Saccharomyces cerevisiae S288C: one gene and its partners. Changing the gene in region 1 together with any one later gene gives a genetic interaction. Each region holds a gene or a part of one and is shown in the gene's direction. Other genes may lie near its edges.

The links.
Region 2: mutations in CEP3 (region 1) and NAB6 together harm fitness less than expected from each alone (positive genetic interaction), as found in Saccharomyces cerevisiae (one large-scale study listed by BioGRID).
Region 3: mutations in CEP3 (region 1) and PMP1 together harm fitness more than expected from each alone (negative genetic interaction), as found in Saccharomyces cerevisiae (one large-scale study listed by BioGRID).
Region 4: mutations in CEP3 (region 1) and SEG2 together harm fitness more than expected from each alone (negative genetic interaction), as found in Saccharomyces cerevisiae (one large-scale study listed by BioGRID).

Annotation. Positions count from the first base shown.
Region 1 is NC_001145.3:596,832-604,609, reverse strand, and holds CEP3 (Cep3p), read left to right. Parts: upstream 1-5,451; coding exon 5,452-7,278; downstream 7,279-7,778. Other genes in the region: EAR1 (Ear1p), read left to right, coding at 1-742; aldehyde dehydrogenase (NAD(+)) ALD2, read left to right, coding at 1,528-3,048; aldehyde dehydrogenase (NAD(+)) ALD3, read left to right, coding at 3,738-5,258; mismatch repair ATPase MLH1, read right to left, coding at 7,415-7,778. UniProt on the Saccharomyces cerevisiae protein: Acts as a component of the centromere DNA-binding protein complex CBF3, which is essential for chromosome segregation and movement of centromeres along microtubules. CBF3 is required for the recruitment of other kinetochore complexes to CEN DNA.
Region 2 is NC_001145.3:30,921-40,198, forward strand, and holds NAB6 (Nab6p), read left to right. Parts: upstream 1-3,322; coding exon 3,323-6,727; downstream 6,728-9,278. Other genes in the region: YML119W (uncharacterized protein), read left to right, coding at 1-764; NGL3 (3'-5' poly(A) RNA exonuclease), read left to right, coding at 1,414-2,931; ATR1 (borate transporter), read left to right, coding at 7,276-8,904; VAN1 (Van1p), read right to left, coding at 9,267-9,278. UniProt on the Saccharomyces cerevisiae protein: RNA-binding protein that associates with mRNAs encoding cell wall proteins.
Region 3 is NC_001135.5:162,320-168,083, reverse strand, and holds PMP1 (proteolipid ATPase), read left to right. Parts: upstream 1-5,016; coding exon 5,017-5,139; downstream 5,140-5,764. Other genes in the region: putative GTPase RHB1, read left to right, coding at 85-714; nucleotide diphosphatase/phosphodiesterase NPP1, read left to right, coding at 1,745-3,973; YCR025C (uncharacterized protein), read left to right, coding at 4,228-4,638; YCR024C-B (uncharacterized protein), read left to right, coding at 5,219-5,485.
Region 4 is NC_001143.9:236,180-245,411, reverse strand, and holds SEG2 (Seg2p), read left to right. Parts: upstream 1-2,828; coding exon 2,829-6,227; downstream 6,228-9,232. Other genes in the region: YKL104W-A (uncharacterized protein), read right to left, coding at 126-380; glutamine--fructose-6-phosphate transaminase (isomerizing) GFA1, read left to right, coding at 39-2,192; aspartate transaminase AAT1, read right to left, coding at 6,521-7,876; YKL106C-A (uncharacterized protein), read left to right, coding at 8,146-8,265; YKL107W (putative short-chain dehydrogenase/reductase), read right to left, coding at 8,342-9,232. UniProt on the Saccharomyces cerevisiae protein: Likely plays only a minor role in eisosome assembly.

The DNA of each region.
Region 1 (7,778 bases):
AAGAACGTTATTTCCACAGTGTGAAAAGGGAGACATTGTTGGCATTGGCTATAGGTCACGTAGTGGAACAGTATTTTTCACCAGGAACGGAAAAAAACTAAATGAAAAATCTGTTGGTGGTCATATCCGCGGCTGGAAATTCCAATACCTATACCCGATCATTGGCTCCAACGTACCTTGTCAAATTCATGTGAATTTCGGCACTTATGGCTTTGTTTATATAGAAGCAAACGTTAAAAAATGGGGATACGCAAAGTCAAACGGCATTAAATTACCTCCTCCTTCTTACGAAGACTACGGTAAAGATACCCTATTAGAAAGCGGTGGTGAAGACAATGATTTCGACGAAGATTTTTCAGACGGTGATAGCGACAATATTGCGGCTGGTAGTACTACAAATCTCAATGATGATATAATTATAAGAAACGGTGAAATATTACCGCCACCACCTGGATTTGAATTCACTATGTCCCCTCCCACTGGAAAGAAGATCATCAATGAGGAAATTAATCTAGATTCCTTACCTATGCTACCACCAAGTTACTCGGACGATGAACATCATTCGAAAAATGATAAATCAGCAATAAGCGGACGAATTATTGGAACGAGCAGAAATTTAATTACTGATGAAGCATCTTTCGATAGTGTTGATAATGATAACGAAGATGAAAATGATCACGAGAGAGATCCCGAACAATTTTCAGAATTTGATGATTACGAAAGCAGGATGCATGGCATATAATACGAAAATGCATGAGATAGTAAGGCTGAAACACTAGCCCCGGTCAGTTATCTTTTTTTGCGCTGTATTACGCAGAGCCACCATTTTTTAAAAACATTGCAATTTATAACGTTTTCTTCCTTATTGAGGGTTTCAACGCTATCACCTACTCGATATCGCAGTGCAGCATATAGATATTTACATACATATATACATATGTTTACGTACACTAGTAAGGGCAACTGGTTGACCCGCAAACTTCCTTCTTACTTTCCGTACTTTTGCCATCTTTACTTGCACCTCCGTGCTACCTCTTAATGTGTCACAAGAAGAACGTATGAAGTATTTGTCAGCGCTTCAGACATCAGCATGGGTTGCAAATGCGTGAGATTAAAATGAAGCGTTCCAGCTCGAAAGAAAATTTGCTTATCTTTCCCTTCTATCATTTTTTTTTTCTCGTTTTTTATTTTGCATTGCCTTATCTTTTGCCGCCAGAAGAAACAAGGTTGCCATTATCGTGCCATGCGTTTACTTGCTAACGCCCTATGATGTTCCCGGCGGCTTTTGGATACTAATAATAGCAATCATATACCCTTTATTGGTTACTCCTATCCAATGATGAGTTTTTTTAACTCGTTTAAACATTAGGGATGCAATCTTGTCGACACTCACTGATCATATCCCGAATTTTGCTCAAGAATGTTCATATAAAGGGAGCGAATCCTTAAAAATACTTTTGGCCCATTCCTATCATTTTTACATTGCATGTCCATCAAAAACAATCGTGAAAATAAGCCAAAAGAAAAATGCCTACCTTGTATACTGATATCGAAATCCCACAATTGAAAATCTCTTTAAAGCAACCGCTAGGGTTGTTTATCAACAATGAGTTTTGTCCATCATCAGATGGAAAGACCATCGAAACTGTGAACCCAGCTACTGGCGAACCGATAACATCCTTCCAAGCAGCTAACGAAAAGGATGTAGACAAAGCTGTGAAAGCTGCCAGGGCTGCTTTTGATAACGTTTGGTCGAAGACATCTTCTGAGCAACGTGGTATTTATCTTTCAAACTTATTAAAACTTATTGAGGAGGAGCAAGACACACTTGCCGCATTAGAGACTTTAGACGCTGGAAAGCCTTACCATTCAAATGCCAAAGGTGATTTGGCACAAATTTTACAGCTTACCAGATATTTTGCTGGGTCCGCTGATAAGTTTGACAAAGGTGCAACCATACCATTGACTTTTAACAAGTTTGCATATACTCTAAAAGTTCCTTTTGGCGTTGTTGCTCAAATCGTTCCATGGAATTATCCTCTAGCTATGGCTTGTTGGAAATTGCAAGGTGCCTTAGCAGCCGGTAACACGGTTATCATCAAACCTGCTGAGAATACCTCTCTATCTCTACTTTATTTTGCTACTTTAATTAAAAAAGCAGGTTTTCCACCTGGTGTTGTCAATATCGTTCCTGGTTATGGATCACTTGTAGGCCAAGCCCTAGCATCTCACATGGATATCGACAAAATATCTTTTACGGGAAGCACCAAGGTCGGTGGATTTGTGTTGGAAGCTTCCGGCCAATCGAACCTTAAAGACGTTACACTAGAATGCGGTGGTAAGTCTCCTGCTCTCGTATTTGAAGATGCAGACCTTGATAAGGCTATCGATTGGATAGCAGCTGGCATTTTCTACAATTCAGGACAGAATTGTACCGCAAACTCAAGAGTTTATGTTCAAAGTTCGATCTACGACAAGTTTGTTGAAAAGTTTAAAGAAACTGCAAAGAAGGAGTGGGATGTTGCAGGAAAATTTGATCCGTTTGATGAGAAATGCATCGTTGGTCCAGTTATATCAAGTACACAGTATGACCGCATCAAAAGTTACATAGAACGTGGTAAAAGGGAGGAAAAGTTGGACATGTTCCAGACCTCTGAATTTCCTATTGGTGGAGCTAAAGGCTACTTCATTCCCCCAACCATCTTCACTGATGTCCCGCAAACATCGAAACTGTTACAGGATGAGATATTTGGCCCGGTTGTGGTTGTTAGCAAGTTCACAAATTATGATGACGCTCTGAAGCTGGCTAATGATACTTGCTACGGGCTCGCCTCTGCGGTCTTCACAAAAGATGTCAAGAAAGCGCACATGTTTGCTCGCGATATTAAAGCAGGAACTGTTTGGATCAACTCATCTAACGATGAAGATGTTACCGTTCCTTTTGGCGGGTTTAAAATGAGTGGTATTGGTAGAGAACTGGGGCAAAGTGGTGTTGATACCTATCTTCAAACAAAAGCAGTTCACATAAATCTCTCTTTGGACAACTAATGTGATAGTTATCATTATGTAAGTGCGTAAGTACCTAAATAGCTTAGCCTGACGACGGATGAATATGTTGACAGTCTAGCAAACAGTAGTAGTCCACTACTCGATATAAAACTGTAAGCACCATTATTTCAGCATGCGGAACAATTGTTGTTACTAGGTCCTAGAAATCCCTTAAGATGGTAAAAAAATAGAGCTATAAACTCAGTGAGATTTATTTTTGTGTCAAGAAATTATACTTGCGTGTTAGTTTTCTCTATTCCCACCATTACGTAGATCTTCCGTCTTTTTTTTTTCTTTTTCTGCATATGACGTCTGTTCTTCCTTCCCCCCCTGGAGTACAAGGAAAGTATCACTATTAGAACTCTACAGTACCTTTCTTCCACGCCCTTTAGTGCATTTAGGGATTTTCATTACTGCTAATCCAAGACTTGAACCGGATTGTTGATCAGCCCCCTTCTTAAGCTGATTGCTAAACTCCCTAAGGGTTAAGGAATTAGTAAGTTTAGGGAGGAGACAGGGAGATTGTTCAAACGAATAGCGTAGATTTAACTGATCATACCTCAGAAACTAATTGTATAAAATGGCAAATCTGGATGGGAATAAATTTGACTCATGCCAGGTAATTATACCTTGGACTTGTATCATAGAGATATAGATTATACACATTTAGAAAATTAGCCAAAAGAAAAATGCCTACCTTGTATACTGATATCGAAATCCCACAATTGAAAATCTCTTTAAAGCAACCGCTAGGGTTGTTTATCAACAATGAGTTTTGTCCATCATCAGATGGAAAGACCATCGAAACTGTGAACCCAGCTACTGGCGAACCGATAACATCCTTCCAAGCAGCTAACGAAAAGGATGTAGACAAAGCTGTGAAAGCTGCCAGGGCTGCTTTTGATAACGTTTGGTCGAAGACATCTTCTGAGCAACGTGGTATTTATCTTTCAAACTTATTAAAACTTATTGAGGAGGAGCAAGACACACTTGCCGCATTAGAGACTTTAGACGCTGGTAAGCCTTTCCATTCCAATGCTAAACAAGACTTAGCCCAGATTATAGAACTTACAAGATACTATGCGGGGGCGGTCGACAAGTTCAATATGGGTGAAACCATTCCATTGACTTTTAACAAGTTTGCATATACTCTAAAAGTTCCTTTTGGCGTTGTTGCTCAAATCGTTCCATGGAATTATCCTCTAGCTATGGCTTGTAGAAAAATGCAAGGTGCCTTAGCGGCCGGTAACACGGTTATCATCAAACCTGCTGAAAATACCTCTCTATCTCTACTTTATTTTGCTACTTTAATTAAAAAAGCAGGTTTTCCACCTGGTGTTGTCAATGTCATTCCTGGTTATGGTTCCGTTGTGGGGAAAGCTTTAGGAACCCACATGGATATCGACAAAATATCTTTTACGGGAAGTACTAAGGTTGGCGGCTCAGTATTGGAAGCTTCCGGCCAATCGAACCTTAAGGATATCACACTAGAATGCGGTGGTAAGTCTCCTGCTCTTGTATTTGAAGATGCAGACCTTGATAAGGCTATAGAATGGGTAGCAAATGGTATTTTTTTTAATTCGGGACAGATCTGCACTGCAAACTCAAGAGTTTATGTTCAAAGTTCGATCTACGACAAGTTTGTTGAAAAGTTTAAAGAAACTGCAAAGAAGGAGTGGGATGTTGCAGGAAAATTTGATCCGTTTGATGAGAAATGCATCGTTGGTCCAGTTATATCAAGTACACAGTATGACCGCATCAAAAGTTACATAGAACGTGGTAAAAAGGAGGAAAAGTTGGACATGTTCCAGACCTCTGAATTTCCTATTGGTGGAGCTAAAGGCTACTTCATTCCCCCAACCATCTTCACTGATGTACCAGAAACATCTAAGTTGCTGCGTGATGAAATATTTGGCCCGGTTGTGGTTGTTAGCAAGTTCACAAATTATGATGACGCTCTGAAGCTGGCTAATGATACTTGCTACGGGCTCGCCTCTGCGGTCTTCACCAAAGATGTCAAGAAAGCGCACATGTTTGCTCGCGATATTAAAGCAGGAACTGTTTGGATCAATCAAACCAATCAAGAAGAAGCTAAAGTTCCTTTTGGCGGATTTAAGATGAGTGGTATTGGTAGAGAATCAGGCGACACCGGCGTTGATAACTATTTACAAATAAAATCAGTCCATGTGGATCTTTCATTGGATAAATAATTCGTTACATAGTTATATAAATGTTTACATGAGATTCAAAGCTTCATATTCTATGAAATCTTTATTTTTTACGGCTTTAAATGAAGTGCGCGCAGCCATGTAAGCTAAGCGTAAGAGAATGAAATATTATAACCAACCTTCAGAGAGCAGGTGATGACAAAAGTTACGAACACGAGTTTGCATCCTAATAATAATGTTTAACCGTACCACTCAACTGAAATCCAAGCATCCCTGTTCCGTGTGTACGAGGCGAAAAGTCAAATGTGATCGTATGATACCGTGTGGAAACTGCAGGAAGAGAGGACAGGACTCCGAATGTATGAAATCAACAAAACTAATAACGGCTTCATCTTCCAAGGAATATCTCCCTGACCTATTGTTATTCTGGCAAAATTATGAATATTGGATAACGAATATTGGGCTGTACAAAACAAAACAAAGAGATCTTACTAGAACACCAGCTAATTTGGATACTGATACTGAAGAATGTATGTTTTGGATGAATTATCTTCAAAAAGACCAATCATTCCAATTGATGAACTTTGCTATGGAAAACTTAGGTGCTTTGTATTTTGGTTCCATTGGAGATATCAGTGAATTATATTTGAGGGTGGAACAGTACTGGGATAGAAGGGCAGACAAGAATCACAGTGTAGACGGCAAATACTGGGACGCACTAATATGGTCTGTCTTTACCATGTGCATTTATTATATGCCAGTCGAGAAGTTAGCAGAAATATTTTCAGTATATCCTCTCCATGAATATTTGGGTAGCAACAAAAGGCTCAATTGGGAAGATGGTATGCAATTAGTCATGTGCCAAAATTTTGCACGCTGCTCATTATTCCAATTGAAACAATGTGATTTCATGGCGCATCCCGATATAAGGCTCGTTCAAGCATATCTGATTTTAGCCACTACAACTTTCCCCTACGATGAACCGTTGTTGGCAAATTCGCTCCTAACACAGTGCATCCATACCTTTAAAAATTTTCATGTGGATGACTTTAGACCTTTACTTAATGATGACCCCGTTGAAAGCATCGCTAAAGTAACCTTGGGAAGAATATTCTATCGCCTGTGTGGATGCGATTATCTTCAATCGGGGCCACGCAAACCAATTGCACTTCATACAGAAGTATCCTCCCTATTACAACATGCAGCATATTTGCAGGATTTGCCTAACGTTGATGTTTACAGGGAAGAAAACAGCACAGAGGTCTTGTATTGGAAAATCATCTCATTAGACAGAGATTTAGATCAATACTTGAACAAGAGTTCTAAACCTCCCTTAAAAACATTGGATGCTATAAGGAGGGAGCTCGATATTTTTCAATACAAAGTAGATTCGTTGGAAGAAGATTTTAGATCAAATAACAGCAGATTTCAAAAATTTATTGCACTTTTTCAAATATCTACTGTTTCCTGGAAATTGTTTAAGATGTATCTCATTTATTATGATACCGCAGATTCACTACTAAAGGTTATACATTATTCTAAGGTAATCATTAGTCTTATTGTTAATAACTTCCATGCAAAAAGTGAGTTTTTCAACAGACATCCGATGGTGATGCAAACCATTACGCGCGTGGTCTCTTTCATCTCCTTTTACCAAATTTTTGTGGAATCGGCTGCTGTCAAACAACTTTTAGTAGATCTAACTGAACTTACTGCAAATCTGCCCACAATATTCGGTTCAAAACTAGATAAACTAGTTTACTTGACCGAAAGGCTCAGTAAATTAAAACTTTTATGGGACAAGGTACAGCTTCTAGATTCAGGTGATTCGTTTTACCATCCTGTTTTCAAAATACTACAAAATGATATTAAGATAATTGAGTTGAAAAATGATGAAATGTTTTCTCTCATAAAAGGACTCGGGTCTTTGGTACCGTTGAATAAGCTTAGACAAGAATCGTTGCTTGAGGAAGAGGACGAAAACAATACGGAACCAAGTGACTTCAGAACTATTGTAGAAGAGTTTCAATCCGAATATAACATTTCTGACATACTTTCCTAACTGCAACCATATTTCATATCCTTTGAAATCTCGCGGATGAATCGTTAAAGGAAAGGGCATACACTTTCAAATGAAACACAATCACACTCAGGAAATAAACAAAAAACTTTGGTATTACAGCCAAAACGTTTTAAAGTTAACACCTCTCAAAAACTTTGTATAGATCTGGAAGGTTGGCTATTTCCACGACATCCTTGAGAATGTGTCTAGGGGCCAGGAACCTTCGTTTGATACAAGGGAAGAGAACGTGTTCTAGTAATGAGGATATGTGTTCCTTTCTATTTATAAACTGGGCTTTTTCGTCTTCTGACAACGATGCATCAGATGTATCGACTTTCGGAACCATATCAGGTATATAGAGTAATGCAATCTCTCTTAAAATACCATCTAGACACTCTTGTTCATCCTCCCAATCAACTTCTTTACCCAGGCGATATATAAAAAATGGTAACTTGACCAGAGATGGAATGTAGCCTTTTAAAAGTAGTGGTAGAGATTTT
Region 2 (9,278 bases), 560 kb from region 1:
GCGCTGCAAACACCAATGTAAATTCCCATCCGCATCATCAGTCGGTGTCGCATTTAAATTCTAAATCTCTTAAATTCAATCAAACGAAGGAAGTGAGCAGCATAAATGAAATTATTTTTCCTTCCAGAACGTGTACAAAGAAACGGTATTTTACCAAGCCAATTGATTTGTATGGTACAAGAAGTAGCACTAGTGTGGCACCTAAGTTGACGAATTCTCCCACGAAATCAAAAACAAATTTCAACATCAAGAAGTGCATCTTACCTAGGTCCGTCGTTACCACATATAAATTACCATCTCCAGTGCACGAAACGATAGACGATATATCCAAAAAAATCATAATCCTGCTAATTTCGTTGAAGTTTGAGAAAAACTATCACTTCTTGCAACCTATTCAATTGTCCACAAATAGTAAGACACGGATCTCAAAATCACTAGACGAATTATGCGGAGTGCAGCTGACATCAACGTTACGGCAACAAAAGCAGCTGCAAGGTAACAGCAAGCCCGTAAAGAATCTCCCTAATTCCAATGCGAAGCAGAGAGCCGGGGCCAGTGTTTCCACAAATGCCAACGAAAGCTTTGAATTGAGTTTTGATGGAAAGGCAATGGATAGATCTGATATATTTCGAATGGTAGATTCTTTTAGCATCGCCATTTCAGATGAAGATGAGGAAGATGAGGAGGAGGATAGCTTTCAGCAGAGAAGTGCGAACAACAGAATCCTCCCTGCGGAGATACTAAGTAATGAACCTTTGAAATGATACGGATTCTCTGTATTCTGTCTATAGTATTTATATACCAATACATTTTTCCGCACTTTGAAGTTTTGCATTTTACTTAATGTAGTTTATTATTAGTTGCCAAAACGAAACATTTAACATGTGAATTAAAAATACAAAAAAAAGCCTATTAACGATCTAAATTTATGACAAAAGACATATAATTATTTTAATGATGCCTTTGTCACAACCGAACACAATATCTTTGAAAAGTGATCCAGCAATCGAATTCAGAATTCGTTGTGCCATTTTTGCCTTACGTTTGCGCCATTGTAATTTCTCTGTGCCGTCTTCTCTTCACTTTATTTCAATATTATCATGCAGTAAACAAGTTGCAGAATAATAAATAATATACGTACCAAATATGTGAACAACTCAGATACTATTCATTTGATATGTTAAAAGTCCTGCATTCCTCTCCCGACATTATATATAAAATGCTCAGCCACCCCTTCGTTGCACAGAAAAAAAGGATGACCTATAATACCAATATTCAATCACAATAGTTATACCAAACTAACACATGGTTGAAGCAGACTACTTACTATCGTGGAGTTAGCTCACTGAAAATTTAATATTTACAGCATTAAACAGTTTTTTCTTTTGTTTTGTCTCCTACATTAATTTCAATATGGATAGCCAAGTAGAAGGCAAAATATCCCCCTCACAGAAGGAGTCCTCCTCCACCTCAGGCCTCGTTTCACCTAGTGAAGATGGCCCAGCACATCAAAAAATACACAGAGACCAATTAAGTGTGGATCAAATCAAGAAAATCAGAGAAGAACGTGCTCAGAAGAGACAGGTACGTAGGAACTCTCTAATATCCCAAGGGAAGGACCCTGACTTCCCAACGCCTGACTTACAATTCATTGAAAGACCATTCCTCCCTATCAACCATGATAATTCGAAAGGTCTTACGCCAGCGACCATACAAGTCACCCAAGATTCATTGGACGTTAAAATAATGACCTATAATACTCTAGCACAAACCTTGATTAGGAGAGATTTTTTCCCAGAAAGTGGACCAGCGTTAAAGTGGCATAAGAGATCAAAAGTTTTGGTCCACGAATTGAAAAAGTACAGGCCTGATGTAGTATCGTTGCAGGAGGTCGATTACAATGAACTCAACTTCTGGCAGGAGAATTTCCATAAGTTAGGGTTTGATGTGATTTTCAAAAGGCATGAAGGGAAAACTCATGGACTACTAGTTGCATGGAACAATAAAAAATTCCAGTTAGATAATGATTGGATGCTGGACTACGATAATATATTGGCGGGAAATGTCATTTCAGCAAGAACAAGAACTAAAAATATTGCCCTTATTATATCGCTATATTTCAAGGGTATAACAGATTCATCATCAAGAGGAATTATCGTCGCAAATACACACCTATTTTGGCATCCCTTTGGGGTATTTGAAAGATTAAGGCAATCTTACTTGGTTTTACAAAAGATCCAGGAAATTAAAGCATGTTCCAAATATAATGGCTGGCATAGCCTACTGATGGGTGATTTCAATACCGAACCTGAAGAGCCACCGTACTTGGCCATAACGAAAAGACCACTGATATTAAAAGGCCCAATAAGAGCTATGGTGGAATGCTCACTAGCGTATCGGTATTCAAAAAAAAGGAATGGAGAAGAAAGTGACCAGGATGATGAAGAGTGTGATGAAAAGTCTAGGGGCGAAGGCCATTCAGATCAACCACAAAACCCAAAACCAGAGAGCTTTACAGCCACAAAGGAAGAAAAGGCTCTGGTAAATCAATTAGTTGCGTTGCATAATTCACTACATGTGAAAGGCGTATCTTTGTATGGGATTGGCTACGGTAAAGTGCATCCTGAAAATGCTAACGGAAGCCACGGCGAACCGGGACTCTCAAACTGGGCCAATACATGGTGTGGATTATTAGACTACATATTTTATATCGAGGGTGATCATAATCAGGACACGCGTCAGAAAGAGCCTCTGAATGCTTTTGAAGGAAATAACAACGTAAAAATAATCGGATATCTGAGGATGCCGTGCGCACAAGAAATGCCCAAACACTCCCAACCTTTCGAGGGAGAATATGCTAGTGATCACATTTCCCTAATGTGCCAAATACGCTTGTTTTTTGGGGGGGAGAAAGTGCATAGCTTAAAATAAAGAAACAATATATATAAACAACCTACATTTGTGTTTGAAAGACAGTAATCAACGCTTCGATGGTCACTGGGATTTTTCTTTCAATTTAGCGTCACTTTCACCTTATTCACAGCTTTTACGTGCTATTTTTGGTCACCCTTCCCCTTTCGTTGCGCCTCAACGGGCTAAAAAAAAAAAAATAAAATCAAGCATAGAAACACCACAACAAACCTGCCCTTTTTCCTTGTTTCAGGTTACGTGAAAAGCATCCAGAGAAGATATCCCAAAGACTGAAGAGGTGTAGTTGGCTCATTCACGTCGTTCGTTTATATTATCAAGGAAGGGGTTTTTGATCGGCTCGAACAAGACTCGCAAGAATCCGTTTTCTATTGTTTTTTTTGAGGATTCCAATATGTCAAATTCCAATTCAAAAAAACCTGTTGCGAATTACGCATACCGTCAACAGCAAGATTATAATGGGATGAACGCCATGGTGGGAAATCCAATGATGTATCATCCTGTTGATTTCGTAAACGGTGCCGGCCAATATGGTCCTTCTCAACACCCAGCATATTACACCAACTCACCATTACCTAATATTCCACCAACACCTTTTGATACTGCATACGGTGCCAGTCTTTTTCCATCTCACCTATTGATGGGATCTCCATTTGTTTCCTCGCCTAACATGCAAAGTGGCTATAATTCTGCAAGATCATCTAATCTCAAAAGAAAGGCTTATTCGAGGCCCGTTTCTAATCATAACGGTTACAACGGAAACAGTAACAGTAACCAAAACAATACTAATAACGGAATGGTAACACCCTCGAACTATTATAGAATGGGGAGAAATTCTTTCTCGAGGAACAACAACAGTACGAGGAATGTTACTCACAACAACAATAAGGGGTGCGACACCCGGAACAACAGTGGAAGAAGAACATTCGCAAGGAATAACATTTTCGACGACATACTTCCAGAAATGCTTTTACAAAGACCCTTTTGTATTAATTACAAGGTTCTACCGACTGGTGATGATGCTTATAGAACTAGGTCGCTGCTTATTGAAAATGTGGATCATTCTATTGATTTACACTCTATAGTCAAAAATTTTGTCAAATCCAATACTCTGGAAAGTGCCTACTTAATTGAAGGAGGGAAGAGCGATGATTCAAAAGATGTAGAGACTAAAAATCTATCCATTCTAATAAGCTTTCTAACCAAAGGCGACTGTTTGAACTTTTACAATAACATTTTACAAAGGTTATCTGAATTCAAAACATTTTTGAAATCTGAAGCACTAAATCTGAAATTTGTTTGTCTAAACTATGATCCCAAATGCCTCCCTACCTTTATTGAGAGTGAAGCGTTAACAGAAAACGCTGAAGAAGCCGACATTACCAATGGTTCAACAATGATCAGTGCTTCGCTGCATCATAATATAGCGAACAAAGATGCTACAAGGTCGATTATAATTGAATTCAAAAGCCCCGTGGAGAAAAGCGATTTATTCAAAAAGAAATTACAATTTTTGGACAGGTCAAAAAACAAAAGATACATTTTGGAATCTATCGATTTAGTGAACACAGATGTACCTTCCAATCAATTTCCTGAAAATTACGCCGTTTTAACCTTTTTGAATATCTCTATGGCTATTGAAGTTCTCGATTATTTGAAAAAATACTCCAAAAACTTAGGCATTTCTAAATGTTTTTACGTATCCCTAGCCCCGTTGGTAGTTAGCTCAGCCAGATCTTCGGTTGCTAATATTTACGAGGGTAAAACGAGCACACATCGTTTATCGGTGCCTTCTGTTACTGCTGGGAACAATAACGATAGCAACAACAACGGAAACAATAATAAAAGTAATATGAGTGGTATCACCACACTCAATAATAATAGTAGTATTGGTGTTTCCGTATACGGTCACTCTAATATGAGTTTAACCAGTCTGTCATCATCTGTATCTTTAAATGAAGAGATTGATATGCTTGCGACGAAACTTCAAGGGGTAGAACTTGATGGGACTTATTTAGAAATCAACTATCGCGACTATCAAACACCAACTATTGAAGAACACTCTACTCACTTGAGCAATGTCAAAATTTCAAAGACAACAGAAAACTCTAGGCAATTTTCTCAAGATATCCCATCACCTTTGCCATTAAATGAACATATGTTTATGAATGATTCTAATCAGTCCAATGGAGCGATAATACCTCAACAGTTAATAGCCACACCTTCTCCGGTATCCCCCAATTTGCAAATGAATCAAAGGGTGTTGCCGAATCCAATAACTCAAAGTTTGGAGCAAAATTTCAACGTTTCGGCCAAAGTGGCATCATCCATGGGTTCAGACATAGGCAATAGAACAATTTATATAGGAAACATTAATCCAAGATCAAAGGCGGAGGATATCTGTAATGTCGTGCGTGGAGGAATCCTTCAGAGCATTAAGTACATACCGGAGAAGAAGATATGCTTTGTTACTTTCATCGAAGCTCCATCCGCTGTACAGTTCTATGCAAATTCATTTATTGATCCAATAGTGTTACATGGGAATATGTTGAGAGTTGGATGGGGGCATTATTCTGGTCCATTACCGAAATTAATCTCGTTGGCTGTTACGATCGGGGCAAGTAGGAATGTCTACGTAAGCCTACCAGAGTTTGCATTTAAGGAAAAGTTTATTCACGACCCTCAGTACAAAAAATTGCATGAAACACTATCTTTACCAGATGCGGAACAACTAAGAGAGGACTTTAGTACCTATGGTGATATTGAGCAGATTAACTATTTGAGTGATAGCCATTGCTGTTGGATAAATTTCATGAATATATCTTCTGCGATTAGTCTTGTTGAAGAAATGAATAAGGAATCCACAGTACAAAATGAATCCGGTGAAGTGACGCTTAAAAGGGCGACTGAGGAAAAATTCGGTGGCCGTTATAAGGGCCTTCTGATAAACTACGGCAAAGATCGTTGTGGCAATATAAACAAAAATTTGATAGCAGGTAAAAATTCAAGATTCTATAAGAAAGTTAAAAGACCGAGCTATAATATACGTTTGAGTAAGTTGGAAGAAAAGAGGAGGCAGAATGAAATCGATGAAAAGGAAAAGGCTTTTGATAAACCCTTGAACTTGGAATCCCTAGGAATTAGTCTGGACGCACATAAGGACAACGGCGGTGGTGAAACAGGAACTGCAAATAATACTGGGCATGAAAATGAAAGTGAACTAGAGGCTGAAAATGAAAACGGTAATGAGACTGGAAGTTTCGGTGGACTGGGTCTCGCTGTGGCGAGCTCTGACGTCAAACGTGCGACATCGGATGAAACTGATTATGAAGATATATTTAACAAGTCATCGGGATCTTCCGACTCGTCATCAGACGTCGAGGTCATTATGCACTCCCCGAGCGATCCTGAATACGCTTTAAAATCACAAACTCTAAGAAGCTCGAGTCAGACCGTCATTAATAGTAAGAGACCAGTAAAGATAGAAGACGAGGAAGAAGCCGTAGGAATGTCACAGCTCAATTATAGGTCGTCATTAAGACAAGCTCCTCCAAGAGCTCCCTCAACTTTGTCATATAATCACTCGAAGAACAACGAAACGCCAATGCAAGATATTTTCACAAATGGCGAAACAGCAAATAACAGAAAGAAGAAGAGAGGATCTTTTGCAAGGCATAGAACGATACCAGGATCTGACGTCATGGCCCAATACCTTGCACAAGTGCAACATTCGACATTTATGTATGCAGCCAATATTTTGGGCGCCTCTGCGGAAGACAACACGCATCCTGACGAGTAGTATAGCTGTGCTGAGCCTGAAGTATAATGCATATCCATCGGACTATTTAGACAAAGCCCAAGGAAGCCTAAGGCGGCCTGCCAAGGTGTTTCTCCCTTTTTTTCTCCGATTTCTTTGTATAAACTAAATAATATAGTGATTACTAATGGAATGGCGGTATTATGCACCTAACCTGTTCATTCTGCCACAGATTACGTAAGCGATTTATTGCCGGCACTTGTTGTCTTAATGACCGAGTCACCAATGTGGAACGATAATTTTCTCTGACTCAAACCTGTTAATTTTTTTCTACTTCGTTTCGTTAGCGACGACGTCAAGCCGCAGGATCCTGTCTGCCTTGACCTCTTCTCTACCTTCAGAACTTACACTTTTCAGGTAAGATGACCTTTATATAAAAGTTGACACTATTACAGTTGTTTATAAACGTCTGAAGAATGAGACGTTTTTATAAAATGAATAAAATGCATATTCTAAGTTTAAAACAACATTTTCAAAGTGTACGATTGTAAAAAGAGAGGCAATTAGAGAATCTCAAACAGGTAATAATAATGGGCAATCAGTCATTAGTTGTGCTTACGGAAAGTAAGGGTGAGTATGAGAATGAGACAGAACTACCTGTTAAAAAATCGTCACGAGATAATAATATCGGAGAATCTTTAACAGCAACAGCTTTTACGCAGTCTGAAGATGAAATGGTAGATAGCAATCAGAAATGGCAGAACCCAAACTATTTTAAATATGCATGGCAAGAATATCTTTTTATATTCACATGCATGATAAGTCAGCTTCTAAATCAAGCAGGCACTACACAGACTCTTTCGATCATGAATATTCTTTCGGACAGTTTTGGCTCAGAAGGAAACTCAAAGTCATGGCTGATGGCATCTTTTCCGCTAGTTTCAGGCTCATTTATTTTGATTAGTGGCAGACTAGGTGACATATACGGATTAAAAAAAATGTTGTTAGTAGGATATGTTCTGGTTATTATATGGTCTTTGATTTGTGGGATTACCAAGTATTCTGGTAGCGATACTTTTTTTATTATTAGTAGAGCCTTCCAAGGGCTAGGGATTGCATTTGTTTTACCTAATGTGCTGGGAATAATTGGTAATATATATGTAGGTGGTACTTTTCGTAAAAACATCGTGATTAGTTTTGTTGGTGCGATGGCCCCTATTGGAGCAACTTTAGGTTGTCTTTTTGCAGGACTGATCGGTACCGAGGACCCAAAACAATGGCCATGGGCATTCTACGCGTATAGCATAGCCGCTTTCATTAATTTTGTGCTCTCCATATATGCCATTCCGAGTACTATACCAACAAATATTCATCATTTTTCTATGGATTGGATTGGTTCTGTTTTGGGCGTGATAGGTCTCATTTTATTAAATTTTGTGTGGAACCAAGCTCCTATATCGGGTTGGAACCAGGCTTACATCATCGTAATTTTAATCATTTCTGTGATTTTTCTTGTCGTTTTCATCATTTATGAGATTCGATTTGCCAAGACTCCACTATTGCCGCGCGCAGTTATAAAGGATCGTCATATGATTCAAATTATGCTGGCTTTATTCTTTGGATGGGGCTCTTTTGGCATCTTTACGTTTTATTATTTCCAATTTCAATTAAATATAAGGCAGTACACGGCATTATGGGCTGGTGGAACTTACTTTATGTTTTTAATTTGGGGTATTATTGCCGCCTTACTGGTAGGATTTACTATCAAGAATGTGTCTCCATCAGTGTTTTTGTTCTTTTCTATGGTAGCATTCAATGTGGGCTCAATAATGGCAAGTGTTACACCGGTTCACGAGACATACTTTCGTACTCAGTTAGGAACGATGATAATTTTAAGTTTTGGGATGGATCTTTCATTTCCTGCTTCTTCCATTATCTTTAGTGATAATTTACCGATGGAGTACCAAGGCATGGCTGGGTCATTGGTGAATACTGTTGTCAATTACTCCATGTCCTTGTGTCTCGGTATGGGTGCCACAGTAGAGACACAGGTCAATTCAGACGGAAAGCATCTTTTGAAAGGCTATAGAGGTGCTCAGTACCTTGGGATAGGATTGGCAAGTTTAGCATGCATGATTAGCGGGCTTTACATGGTCGAAAGCTTCATAAAAGGCCGCAGGGCAAGAGCTGCTGCAGAATACGATTGCACTGTGGCTTAGCGGAAAGCGGTTATTAAGGTAAATAGATAGAAATACACCGCTGTCATGCGATTATATAGACATGGGGCATTTAGACACTGAAAGTCTTCATATCTCAACATGCAACTAGTAATAGTACAATTTTTAGTACCCTTTAATCTTTATTGTTCGCTCCCTAATAACGAAGCCTTGAACTGTAACCAGATCCCAGGTTACCCCTTATCCTTAAGAGGTCTTTTATTTACTCTACATAATATATATTTTTCAATCCATTGAAGAGGATTAAAAGAAGAAAAATCAATACCGAACAAAAAAACAAAACGAAATAAAACAAAACAAAAAATTAAATTAAATTAAATTAATATTAAATGTCATCATGATTCTTACTCTGATTG
Region 3 (5,764 bases), on another chromosome or scaffold:
CATTCTTTTGGGCTGGTTCGAATTGTCTCTTTACCGAAACAGTTTTATTGGGGCACGGCGAGAAAAGATATAACCTGTGACATAATGGAATACGCCACTATGTCTTCTTCGAACTCCACACATAACTTTCAGAGAAAGATTGCTCTTATAGGAGCTAGAAATGTCGGCAAAACCACATTAACGGTTCGCTTCGTAGAATCGCGGTTCGTTGAATCCTATTATCCCACTATTGAAAATGAATTTACCAGGATAATTCCTTATAAAAGTCATGACTGTACTCTGGAAATTCTAGATACTGCAGGCCAAGATGAAGTTTCTCTATTAAACATTAAATCGTTGACGGGCGTACGAGGCATAATACTGTGCTATAGTATAATAAATCGTGCTAGCTTTGATCTTATTCCCATTCTCTGGGACAAGCTGGTAGATCAGCTGGGTAAGGATAACCTCCCGGTAATACTTGTGGGTACCAAAGCTGATTTGGGAAGGAGTACAAAAGGTGTAAAAAGGTGTGTCACGAAAGCTGAAGGAGAGAAACTAGCTTCGACAATTGGCAGTCAAGATAAGAGGAACCAGGCAGCATTTATAGAATGCAGTGCCGAGTTAGATTATAATGTTGAAGAAACTTTTATGCTCCTTTTGAAACAAATGGAACGTGTCGAAGGAACTCTGGGGCTTGATGCCGAAAATAATAATAAATGTTCTATAATGTGAAAACTCGAGCGTCCCTAGGATATCATTGGTTTTATTAGTAGGAAAGCGGTCAGTACAATTTGTATAATAATACCACATCTTTCTCATACCTGTTACGGTGTGCTGCATTTATAGTAAGAGGTTGAATATTGATAAAACCTTTCAATGGCTTGGACGCCTCGTTTAACAAGCAAGAATATTTTAATTATGGGGTTTTTGCTAGTTTTCAAGATGCGTTAGCAAACCTAAGTACCATTAAAAATTTCATGTTTAGAATGCTCCTACATGTGTTAACTTTTAGTGCATTTTTTCAAAGTAATTTGCCGTTGATGTTAAAGACATGAAGTAACTGTCTTTTAAAACTAAGGACAATTGACTTTCTTAATCTTTTTGTACCTAAGATGGAAGATTCAGATAGGACATCCAGTAGCAACCAGTAAATGTACTAACTAATATTTCATCCTTTCTTTGACTGGGACGAAGTCGGATCACACTATGTACTTTATCAGCACATCGCAATATTTTTGGACAGCACTAAAATTGTGAATACCAAAAGATCAGAACCAAACAGCGAGTGTAAATAAATTTTCTTGTATTTTTCTTTTAGCTCTGCTTCAATTAATTATTTACATTTACGAATAAATTTGTATATATTCTCCCTCGGTAAGTACCACCTTTTTTTTTACTTTTTGCTCTAAGAGTTACGATTATATATACATAACATAAATAATGGAATAAAACATCACCTGGAAGCTAAGAATATATTAAGTGACAATTATACCAGGGGTTGGACTAGTCAAACAATCAGGTGAATTGTGAACACAATACGACATTTTCTCTTATTAATTTTGGATACCTATCTCACAAAATATCATAACGAGACAAGATATCTGCGTACGATGCTAAAAATGAAAAAAAAGAAAAGACATGAAGTTATAAAAAAACATTGGTACGATATGCAAACTGCCTAACAAACCACAAATAAGCAAAATAAGTGAGGCGAGGTAATTACATATATCTGAAAAGAGGTACAGTATAACACTCTCTATAGATGGAACTTCAGAATGATTTAGAGTCGCTCGATAACGAGCTGAATGATTTTAGTGAAGATCCATTTCGTGATGATTTCATAACGGATGAAGATGCTGTAAGATCGGGGTGGCGATCTGCGTGGACCAGGATGAAATATTGGTTTTATAAGAATAGACTGAAGTGGACAAACAATCCCATAGTGATTGGCGACGCGAAAGATAGTAGGGATGGTTCTAACTTTAGAAGGGGTATACCGCTATATGAATTAGACGCGAATGGTCAACCCATTGATACTGAACTTGTTGATGAGAATGAACTTTCTTTTGGAACGGGATTTCATTCCAAAGTGCCTTTTAAAATAATATTTCGCACATTGTTTGGCTCGCTGGTGTTTGCCATTTTTTTAATTCTGATGATTAACATAGCAAAACCCCATCACTCCACGAGAGTGCTATCGCACTTTGGCAGTCCTGAATTTGACCCTTACGTGAAGTATTTTAACGGTACGCATGAATTTTTCCCCTTAACGATAGTAATTTCACTAGACGGTTTCCATCCTTCACTCATATCTAAGAGGAACACACCGTTTTTACATGACTTATATGAATTGAAATATGATGGAGGTATGAATATCACGTCCACACCTTTTATGGTACCCAGCTTCCCTACGGAGACCTTTCCCAACCATTGGACGTTGGTTACTGGACAATACCCAATACACCACGGTATAGTCTCTAACGTATTTTGGGATCCTGATCTTAATGAGGAATTCCATCCAGGTGTATTGGACCCTCGAATATGGAACAATAATGATACAGAACCAATATGGCAAACTGTTCAGTCTGCATTTGACGGTGATATACCATTCAAAGCTGCTACCCATATGTGGCCAGGTAGCGATGTGAATTATACCAAGTATAATGAAGAGAAACTACAACCTGAACATAAAAATCCTATTGCTAGAGAGAGAACTCCATTTTACTTCGACGAATTCAATGCTAAAGAACCACTTTCGCAAAAATTATCCAAGATTATTGAATATGTGGATATGAGTACACTGAACGAAAGACCACAGCTAATTCTCGGTTATGTACCGAACGTAGATGCCTTTGGACATAAGCATGGATATCCGTCAGAGTCGGAATACTATTATGAAGACTTCACTGAAACACTGGGGGAAGTAGATACATTTCTGAAGCAACTAGTGGAATCGCTGCAAGAAAGAAATTTAACCAGCTTTACTAATTTGGTCATTGTTAGCGATCATGGTATGAGCGATATCGTAGTTCCCTCAAATGTTATTATATGGGAAGACTTACTGGACGAAAAATTGAGGAAGGATTATGTATCGCACGCATATCTAGAGGGTCCGATGATGGCTATATCGTTGAAAGATTCCGGAAACATCAATGAGGTTTACCACAATTTAAAGACTTCTATAGATGAAGACAAGTATACGGTTTACGTTAATGGAAATTTCCCCAAAGAATGGAACTTTAATGATGGAAAAAATCATCACATGGCGTCAATCTGGATTGTGCCCGAGCCTGGGTATGCAGTGATGAAGAAAGAACAATTGAAGAAGGTGGCAAAAGGTGATCATAAGGACAAAAACGAAGACAATGTGTTCACGATTGGATCACATGGATACGACAATAACGCGATCGATATGAGATCTGTATTTATTGGTATGGGGCCATATTTTCCACAGGGATACATTGAGCCGTTCCAAAATACCGAAATTTACAACCTTTTGTGTGATATTTGCGGTGTGGCAGAAAAGGACAGAAATTCCAATGATGGGACTGGGATGCTTATGAACCAACTCCGCGAACCCCAGAGCAGCGAAGAAGTAGAGATTGAAGATGACTTTGATTATTTGGTCAGTAAGTTTGGTGAATTCAGCACTTATAATATAATTTGGGGCGGGTACCCCGAAGAGACAGAACAAGACAATGTTGACAATGATAATGATGACAACGACGATGGAAACACTGATGAAATAGCCGCTATGCCATCTTCGTCATTAACGATAAAACTAGAAATGACAACTTCAATACCATCAGCAACTGAGACTCTACTGGGCGAAACATCACCATCATCAAGAAGCAGCAGCAGCAGCAGCATACAAGCTAGCGCTACTGCTAGCACAGTGGGGGATTGGCTTCAAGACATAATCAACGACGCAAAAGATCTCATTGACGACATAATTGACAGCATCGACGATTTAGTCGATTCTGATACCTAAGCTTAAGGTGGGACAACCGCGTTATGAAATAAAAGACGCATCCTTGTGAGTCCCGCGCAAGAAAACATATGCACGCAGAAAGAGACTTTTATTTAGATTTAGTATATCTCTAAACTTAATTCAGAAGTGAACCACTCTCTCACATCCGATGACAGTGGGGTCAATAAGATGTACTAAGTAAGAAAACTAATTACACAATAAAAAGAAACAAGCTGAAACTAGGCGTGTTAACTCTTTCCTAAACGAGGAGGTTTATGTCGTCATTTGGACATCGAGCATTTTTCAGCTGTTGTCCTTTACTAGAAGGAGAAACTTTGCATTCAATAAAATTGCGCAAAGAGGCAACATACCAAACTCAATCCGGGTGGCCGGTTCGATGGCCGATTCGGTATCCGCGCGCACTTCCCCTAGAATCCCACGTGCACCCATACCATATGATCGTTAAATTACCGCACCCACGCACCCAACCGCGGCTGTTTCTATGGCTGTCGTTGCATTGGACAGGAATTCCTTTTTTGGGAAAGCCGGGAATAGGTCGCAATCGGGTAAAATCAAAACAATTTTCGCATTTCCAACAGAGTAAAATCAAAACAACTATGAGAAAAAAAACAACAAACAGAAAGCAGAAAGCAGAAAGATGTCAATATAGACTTGTCACTGCGTAATAGAAGATAGCTTCAATTTTTTCCGATAATAATTTCCCATTTTTTTTTTTCAAATTTAGCCTTCCGTGCTTGCCAGTATATAAAGCTTTGAAAGCAATTTATTGTTTCTCTTGTAATCTTAACTTCCCTTTTTTTCTCTTATTGCGTCTTATCTTCCTTTAGAGTTTTTCATTACTACCCTTTTTCCATTTATTCTTTTTCCCTTTCAATAGTATTTAAAGGAAGACGCTACACACTTTGAAGGAAGAGCAAATAAGTTAACTTTTTCATCTCTTTTTTTTTCTCAACTTCAAACTAGTCACTCAAGCAAACTTTTGTTCCTACATATCCTTTGTTTGTTTCTCCTCTTCCCATTTCAGCACTTTTAATCTATCATAAATGACTTTACCAGGTGGTGTTATTTTAGTTTTCATTTTGGTCGGTTTGGCTTGTATTGCCATTATTGCTACCATTATCTACAGAAAATGGCAAGCTAGACAAAGAGGATTGCAAAGATTCTAAAAAGGGCGGAGCGAGCCATTTTATTTCCTGTCCCCTTCATCTTTGTTTATATCCATTCTAGAACATGAATTAGACTACTATGTGTGTGTGTGCGATACCCTTTTTTGAATTCTTTCTACCTTTTATCCCTCACTATGCCTTTCTTTTATTTGTTTCGTCCGTTCGCTTTACTGTAAATGAACGTTGTTACTACTTAGTGTGCGTGCTCAAGTTGAATTGTGCTTTTTTTTTTATGGTTATGATATTTGAACTAAAACGAGTGTGTGTTTCGTATTTAGACAGATCCCGTAAAATCCAAATTGTTAGCTTTTTTCCTTTTATCACTATTATTTTTTTCCACTCTTAACAATGTGTGTGATTGTTAAGTCTGGCTGATGACTCCTCATGATAACTCATGTGTGTGTAAAATTGAGTTTTTCATGGTTGTTTTCAAAGATAAATTACATAGTAGTGTAATCAAAATAGTGTATGATTTTTTTTTATTTTTAGAAAATCTAAATAATAAATAAATAAAAAATAAAATACAATCCTTACAGAGATTAGGCCGTCGAGTGTGGAGTATGAGTATGCACAACTTATAGTTATGATCTACTTTTTCTCGTCCTGATTTTTTATCTTTTTTATA
Region 4 (9,232 bases), on another chromosome or scaffold:
AAGTTCTCGAGCAAATCAACAGCAACTTTTATAAAAAAATGTGTGGTATCTTTGGTTACTGCAATTATCTAGTGGAAAGATCCAGAGGAGAAATTATCGACACCTTAGTGGATGGTTTACAAAGATTAGAATATAGAGGCTATGATTCCACCGGTATTGCTATCGATGGTGACGAAGCTGATTCTACTTTCATCTATAAGCAAATCGGTAAAGTGAGTGCTTTGAAAGAGGAGATTACTAAGCAAAATCCGAACAGAGACGTTACTTTTGTCTCTCATTGTGGTATTGCGCATACTAGATGGGCTACTCACGGTCGACCAGAACAAGTTAACTGTCACCCTCAAAGATCTGACCCAGAAGACCAATTTGTGGTCGTTCATAATGGTATCATCACAAATTTTAGAGAACTGAAGACTCTTTTAATTAACAAAGGTTATAAATTCGAAAGTGATACCGATACCGAGTGTATTGCTAAACTATATTTGCATTTATACAATACAAATTTACAAAATGGGCATGACTTAGATTTCCACGAATTAACCAAGCTAGTTCTTTTAGAACTAGAAGGTTCATACGGGTTATTATGTAAATCTTGTCACTATCCTAATGAGGTTATCGCCACTAGAAAAGGGTCCCCTTTACTGATTGGTGTCAAATCTGAAAAAAAACTAAAAGTCGACTTCGTGGATGTGGAATTTCCCGAAGAAAACGCTGGTCAACCGGAAATTCCATTGAAATCTAACAACAAATCATTTGGCTTGGGCCCAAAGAAAGCTCGTGAATTTGAAGCTGGTTCCCAAAATGCCAATTTACTACCAATTGCCGCCAATGAATTTAACTTGAGACATTCTCAATCCAGGGCTTTCCTATCAGAAGATGGATCTCCAACACCGGTGGAATTTTTTGTTTCTTCGGATGCGGCATCTGTTGTTAAACATACCAAGAAGGTGCTATTTTTAGAAGATGACGATTTGGCTCATATTTACGATGGTGAGTTACATATTCATAGATCTAGAAGAGAAGTAGGCGCATCAATGACAAGGTCCATTCAAACTTTAGAGATGGAGTTAGCTCAGATCATGAAGGGCCCTTACGACCATTTTATGCAAAAGGAAATCTATGAGCAACCAGAATCTACTTTCAATACTATGAGAGGTAGAATCGACTATGAAAATAATAAAGTGATATTGGGTGGTTTAAAGGCATGGTTACCAGTTGTCAGAAGAGCACGGAGACTGATCATGATCGCATGCGGTACTTCTTATCATTCATGTTTGGCTACTCGTGCTATCTTCGAAGAATTATCAGATATCCCAGTTAGTGTGGAATTAGCGTCTGACTTTCTGGACAGAAAATGCCCTGTCTTCAGAGACGATGTATGCGTGTTTGTTTCACAAAGTGGTGAAACTGCGGATACCATGCTGGCTCTAAATTATTGTTTAGAAAGAGGAGCCTTAACTGTCGGAATTGTTAACAGTGTTGGTTCTTCTATCTCTCGTGTCACCCACTGTGGTGTTCATATTAACGCTGGTCCTGAAATTGGTGTTGCCTCTACAAAAGCTTATACTTCCCAGTATATTGCCTTAGTGATGTTTGCTCTATCGCTGTCAGATGACCGTGTATCGAAAATAGACAGAAGAATTGAAATCATTCAAGGCTTGAAGTTAATCCCGGGCCAAATTAAGCAGGTATTAAAGCTGGAACCAAGAATAAAAAAGCTCTGTGCGACTGAATTAAAGGATCAAAAATCTCTATTGTTATTGGGTAGAGGTTACCAATTTGCTGCTGCTCTGGAAGGTGCTTTGAAGATCAAAGAAATTTCTTATATGCATTCTGAAGGTGTTTTGGCAGGTGAGTTGAAGCACGGTGTCTTGGCCTTGGTGGACGAAAACTTGCCAATCATTGCTTTTGGTACCAGAGACTCTCTATTCCCTAAAGTAGTTTCCTCTATTGAGCAAGTTACTGCAAGAAAGGGCCATCCAATTATTATTTGTAACGAAAATGATGAAGTGTGGGCGCAAAAATCTAAATCAATCGACCTGCAAACCTTAGAAGTTCCACAAACTGTTGATTGTTTACAAGGTCTAATTAATATTATTCCATTACAACTAATGTCATATTGGTTGGCTGTTAATAAAGGGATTGATGTTGATTTTCCAAGAAACTTGGCTAAATCTGTTACCGTCGAATAAATTAACCCTTTTACTTTCTCTTCGTCCCCCAGCCTCCCATCCGTCTTTCTACTATCACTTCTCCTTCGCTTTTAATTTTTGAACTTCCATTATTCTGCAATGCGCACTACAAGCTGGCGTTAAAGATGATTCCACTTGTATTCTCTATATAAATAAAAAATTATATTTTATATGAATAACCAAAAAGATAGTTGCAGCCCTAAATTAGACCTGCTAAATAAATGTGTTCTAACTTTGTTACAATTTTTAAACCATATAACTTCCTTCTTGTAAGTCCTCTAAAATAATATTAAACCCTATCCTGAGTTGGGCCCTGCGTTTTACCCGCAGGAATAGGCCCGATGATTGATTATCCACATCAACTTTTGGTGAAATTCGAGAGAAAATAAATGGGAAGTGAACGAGCAATAGGCAATCAACAAAAAAAAAAAAGGGTTAGGAAATTCGCTATTGTAAAGAGGCAATTTTTAAAATTTAGAGTGAAAATCGCCATTCCATCTTCTTCATATTCTTCGTTCAAATTACACAATTATTGCGGGAGGAAATAGCATTTATTAACCCTAATAATCAACATAAGGCAGATAGCTCTGAAAGAGGCAAGTATCAACAAATAGTGGGAGCATTGGAAATAGCGGGATGATCCAAGAAAGTAGTCCAGATGCCTTAGCAGCAGCAGCAGCAATTGGAAATGCGCTCAGTTATAATGGGAGGACCGTTGACAAGAGTAAAATACCGCAATACAATCAGAGTTTTACCTCTCGAACTACGTCAATCGCAGGGATTAATAGGTATACAATGCTCTCGAATTCTAGGACTAACTCAAGGATGCTCTTAATGAATGGTAACGTTCGCCAATACTCTAAGCGCACGTCGAGTTTGCCAAACCAAGGACATAAGAATACCTCTAATAATTCGGCGGGGAGAAGGCAACACAGGGCTCACGAGGATGCAGAAACCACGTTTCGAGAATTTGGAGGCAAGCAGTCATCGAAGGTTTTAAACATTTCAAGTTCGACTGGTCAGAATAGTAAATCAAGGACCACATCACTTGGGAACTCAGGCAGCACAATAAGGACGATAAAAAAATACATACCAGGCCCTAGGGGGTTAATGGCTGTGGAAGTACCCGTGGAAGTAGAGCCTCCTAGATACAGTCTGAGCAACCGCTCAAACCAACGAGGTGGTAGAGCATATTCTTTGCCTACTCGAAACAACAAAACTAGTCTAATGCATAGGAATAAAACTACTAAGAAAGCAGGATCACAAGAGAAAAAAAGTGAAAGCGGCGGTAAATCAAAAAACGATTATCATGGCAAAGTATTATCTAAAATGCATACTACATCATTAAAGCAACGGCATAACAATGTTCCATTAATACCAACAACTATGAACGAGGAAACGGAACAAGAACTGCAAGAGGATCTTCATGATCCTTTAGAATTTAAACCCATGATTATATCCGATGACGAAAACTCTTTTATTGAACCCAGCGTTCTCGATCGTAGCATACCCAAAAAAGATAAAAGTGGTCTCAGTGGACGTGAGAAAAAGGAAGAAATTGAAACATTGCTTAAAGAGGTTCATAGCTTGGAGGAAAAAATATCAAATATCGAAATAGCAAAATTGAACGAAGAAGAAAGGGAACAAAGCTTAATTTTGGAATTGCGAAAAGTTAAGCTAGATGAAGAACGGAGAATGGAGTTATTGAAAAGAGAGCTAAATATAGTTAAGGAGAATGCCGACCTTGAAGCCCAAGAATTAAAACTAATTGAAAGCAAAAGAAAACAACACTTTCACAAAGGACAGGAAGTAGCATCCGAGGTCAAATCGATCACGATTCGTCAACCTACTTTATCAGAACCTAAGCCTGCCTATGTACCTCCGGAAGACGTGGAGAAAGAGCCATCAACTCTCTCCAATCAAACTCAGAATATTGAAAATGCAGAGAATATCGATTCTGTTGATGCCGAAGGAAATTTAGTAGATCCTATTCTTCTCGGCTCTTTAAACAATTCTAACTTCCACATGAATTCAGATAACGAAGTGAGGTGCATTGCAGATTCAAACAGTCTCACTGGCAGCGAATTATCCGATTATAATTATATAGAAGGCTCGGCAACTGATCTTCGCGCTACTGCAAAGACAAGTGTGGAGTCTGAAATAGGCGGAAATCAGGTTGGACTAAAAATTCCGCAAGATGATGATAGTGAAAAACAGGAAGAACGTACAAAGGGAAAAAAGTCAGGCCTCGTCGATACAAATTGCTTTTTAGTCCAAAAAGAAGATCAAGAAGAGGCGCTTTCCGATAATGAACCGGAAAGTTCTGAAAAATTCCCTAGCACTTCTGGGATCGAGAACGTTAAACTGGAGGATGAGACTGGTAGTGTTATGGACAAAAATAATGGACCCAACAATGACAAGGACGATGATGATGACAAAGACAATGATAATGACGATGATGATGACAAGGACGATGATGTTAACGATGATGACAAGGATGAAAATGTTGACGATGATGAAAATGTTGACGATGATGATGACGATGATGATGACGATGATGATGAATATCATGATTCTTATGACGTGATAATGAGAGATCCGGTTCAAATAGAACAAGATATATCTGACGTGCCTTCATTAAAACACCCTTCAGAATATTCTACCGAGACAGAAGATAATAAAAAGAAGGAACAAAATTCTGAAAATGCAGAAGTTAGTCAGTCCGGAACAAACATGGCCAAGTATTTACGTGGTGCTAATCCTTACCTCACTAACACAAGTTCAGACACTTTCAGCCTAGATTCCGAAAACGTGAACTCCAAGTCCTCCACGGATACCACAAGAGTTGCACCTGACCTTTTGAAAAGCTCACTACAACCACAACTTAGATCTGATTTGAAACAATCAGCCGTTCCATCAAGTACTTCCTCGTCCATTTATTCGATAGAAACGTCTCCAAATATTGATTCCTCTACAGGGAAAACTGCTTCCAATACGAAAACGAACAGCCATGGCCCTCCGACGAGTATTTCAAAACAGAAATACGATCAATCTAGTTCTCATCAAATACCCGTGATGTCTCCCAAGCGTCTCGACGATAAAAGAAAAATCACCAATCGTTCGTGCCTAAGAACTCTACGTGGTAGTTCAAATGAGGCTACTCTTTCGCATAATATAGTATATCCAGCTTCTGACTCATCTTCATCCCCTCCATATCATAGCAAGAAGCCATCAAATCCTCCATCATCTGGCAACTTGGCTTCACACGAGGCGTCCAAGTGTTTTCCAAAAGCTCCTCAGGCGAGCACAACATCGAGACGATTGCCTGATCATGTCCCTCTATACATTGATAAAAATAATAGTGCACTCTACCCCAAAGAACCCCCCGCCAGGAAGTCTAGTTTTGAGAAGGAAAGACCTGCGAAGGATAACCTAGGATTTAGAAGCATGTCTTTGAGAGAGCCACTTATCACAAAGAATGCTACAGCCACAGCAGCAGAGAACCTGGATGTGGAAGAAAAGAAGGAAAAAGGAGGTCATGTCTCAAGAAAATCATGGACTTTTGGTTTGCCCTCTCCGCTGAAAAGGAGAACAAGTCATTCTACTCATACCACGAACGAAACAGAGATAGTTAATCCCATGACGAACTTCAAAAATAAGACCAACGAAAACGATATGCCAATATTAGCAAATAAAAAGAGCTGCAACAACGATGATTCTTCCCCTTACACTGCATCATCCATGAACACTAATGACGTAAGCGAAGCTGGTACAGAAGGCCACCGGTTTTCATTATTCGGAAATAAAAGCCAATTGTCAAATAGGAACATATCTGGTGGAACAGCCACTTTGGAGTCATCAAATCCTGACCTGCCTACAGCCTTACCATTAAGCGTTCCGGTGACTATCATTGATAAAAATGGAGAGATACACAAGCTTCATAACGATGATGCAGCTATAAAAGATAAGTCGCATGACCGTCACGGTCACAGTAAATTCGGTAGGAAACTGAAAAAAATTTTTGGCAGGAAATGATTTGAAAGAAGAAAACATAGGAAACCTAAAATGAAATGTAAGGATATGATGCACTGCCACCGTAATTAAAATAGTTGGCTAGCGCTAGCTTTCTTTTCATTTAAAATTTAATAACTAGTTCGATCACGAATTAATCCAATCTAGTTATCTGAAAAGTGTATATAGAGTAGATAAAAAAAAGGTTTATTAATTATTACAAAAAATTATTATATTCTATAAATTATTGTGTGGCAAAATGAGAAGGGAAAAGTAATAAAAAAATAAAGACAAAGGTGAACTGTAAGGTGAAAAAATTATGCGAGTTTGTCCATTTTCGAGACTGCTTCAAGAGATTCACATAAGTAATCAACGTTCGAATCATTGACTCCGCTAAGCGACAATCTACCATCACCTGTTAAATAGACGAAGTAATTGTTTCTCAATATTTCGACTTGCTTTGGACTAAACCTTGTATAGTAAAACATACCGTGCTGTTGTGCGAAATTTACAAGATCCGGCCACCCTAGACGGTCAAACATCTCCTGTCTGACGTGATGCAATCTCTGAACCATGAAATCAACATCCTTGAACCATTGCTGTTTCAATTTGAAATCTGATAATACTACATTTACCACACGAGAACCGTATCCTGGTGGAGAAGAATACATACCTCTGACAATCTTTTTTAATTGGGAGTCAATATTTTGCTGCAATGAGTTTTTCTGTTGTAGAGGGTTGAACTTTCCATTGTTCGCAGTTGCCGGCGTGATAACGCTTAAGGAACCAACTCGTTCACCATAAAGGCCCATGTTCTTGGCAAAAGATTGACAAAGAAAGATACCGTTACTCCAATTTGGATATTTATTTACATTGAGACATAGCCTCAATAAATATGCGTCCTTTAGTAAGTTACCAGACTCTAAACCCTGATAAGCCATATCAACAATGGGTACCATTTTTAGCTCATATATAGTATCTATAATCTTTTCCCATTGCTCTTTAGTTGGGTCGAGACCTGTAGGGTTGTGACAACACGCATGCAAGATTATGCAAGGTGGGTTCTTATTGTTTTCTTGCTGGTTGTTATATGCAAAGGTTTTCAATTGCTCAATCCATCCGTCGATGTCTATCTGACCGTCCTTATAATAGGAATACCGGTAAATATTTTCAAAACCATTGTTCTGAAAAATGTTCTTATGATTTGCCCATGATGGGTCAGGTATCCAAATATCTCTTGAAATAAATAATGCCAAGAATTTAGCTGCTACAGCTAGGGCGCCTGTACCACTCAAAGTCTGAACAAAGCTGATTCTATCATGGGCTAAATAAAATGGCCCAAACTGCGGACATGATTCCTTGAACAAAAATTTCATAACGTTTTCCTGAAATTCTTTGGAACCTGTTATTGGTAAATATGAAAGATTCTTATTCAACTCTAAATGAGATTCAATCAATTTTTGAGCTTTTGCAACGGAGGGAAACGTCGTCACTTTGCCCCAACCATCTTTATATATTCCTACGGTCAGGTCAATTTTGTTAACATTTTTTACCTTTTTGAAGTGTTCAGATAACCCCAAGACTTTATCTGGAGGTGCTCTTGGTACTCTACTAAGCGATGACGTGTAGTAGGGCCTCCATAGACTGCAATTAGTAAGCCTCGTCCTCAACATCAAGTCTTTCGGCAGTGAAAAACGGATAGTAATTTTCAAATGAGAAGGGAAAACGCACTCAATAGTATGCTATCGTTCAATCCGCTATCGTCTATTCTGTATTTTTTTTTTCTTTTCAATTGCGACGGTTAGCAATTAGATAACCAAGACAGAGAGAGCGAATACTTGCTAGCAATTTATATACGTAAGCGAAAAATGTAAAAAAAAATATGAAAAATGCGGCATCCTAAATATTGGAGCAAAGCAGAATAGTGCTTCCATACTCCAAGATGCCATTTCCGTCGATATTACATCTGACAATAGGAAGATATGCGAGCTATGACTCCAACAATCACATGAGACGGCGTGCAAAACTCATGGAAGCCATCTTCCGCATCCGAACAATATGAATCATCGACGATGGTCGCATGCAAACGCCCTTTAAAAAGTGAAATATTTAAATATAAACCAATTAGTTACAGCAAGTCATTCGTTACTGGAAGTGAAAGGACTTTGATTACGCAAGGCCTTTTCAACTAGAAGTTCCGAATTTTCCATAAACTTCTCAACAACATCTTTGGTCAAACCAGGCGAAGGTAAAATAGCATCGCCTTTGTTGCTGAACATTGTACCACTGCGTGATTCGATAGCGGGGCTCGCAATCAGGGTGCATATTGTTTTCGCATACGTCTCTGCGCTTTGACAGGTCCAGCTGATTATCCATTCTGTAATGCGGCTGAGGTAGGTGTCACTGCCAAGAAGATTATTACGAATGTTCGTTTTGATCAGCCCAGGGTTCAAACCGAAAGTATCTATATTCGTGTATCTGTCTTTAGCGTCTATGACCAGACTTTCATTGGCTGCCACAGTGTTCATATGTGTAGCGTAGGCACTATACTTCTTTTCATCAGAATTCAAGTCATCTGGGTCTCCCACCTGACCATTTCCTGGAAACCCTGCTATGAAAACTTTTGGCAAATCGTCTTTTTTTGTCCTACTAATTCCTAATCGCTTCGCCACATCATGGAAGATAATGTATCTACTCAAATAGCTCACTGCCATGTCTTTTTCCAAACCCTCACTTGTAGCTTGTCTCTGGCGTGATGCAAAAATACCCGTAGTGAAAATCAGATGTGTTAACTCCTCGTAGGGAATTTCATCACTATGAGATATACGCTTGCATTCTGACACTAAACTTAAATCAGCCTTGACAAAGTTAATTTTATCTTTTAGGTCCTCGTCCCTAAAAGTTTGCCCGACAACAGTAACCCTGGCATTTCTTTGGGCCAGCTCTCTACTTATTGCACGTCCAAGTCCACCTGTGCCACCAATTATGGCCACATTAAAACGACTAAAATCAATGTCATTGATATTTTT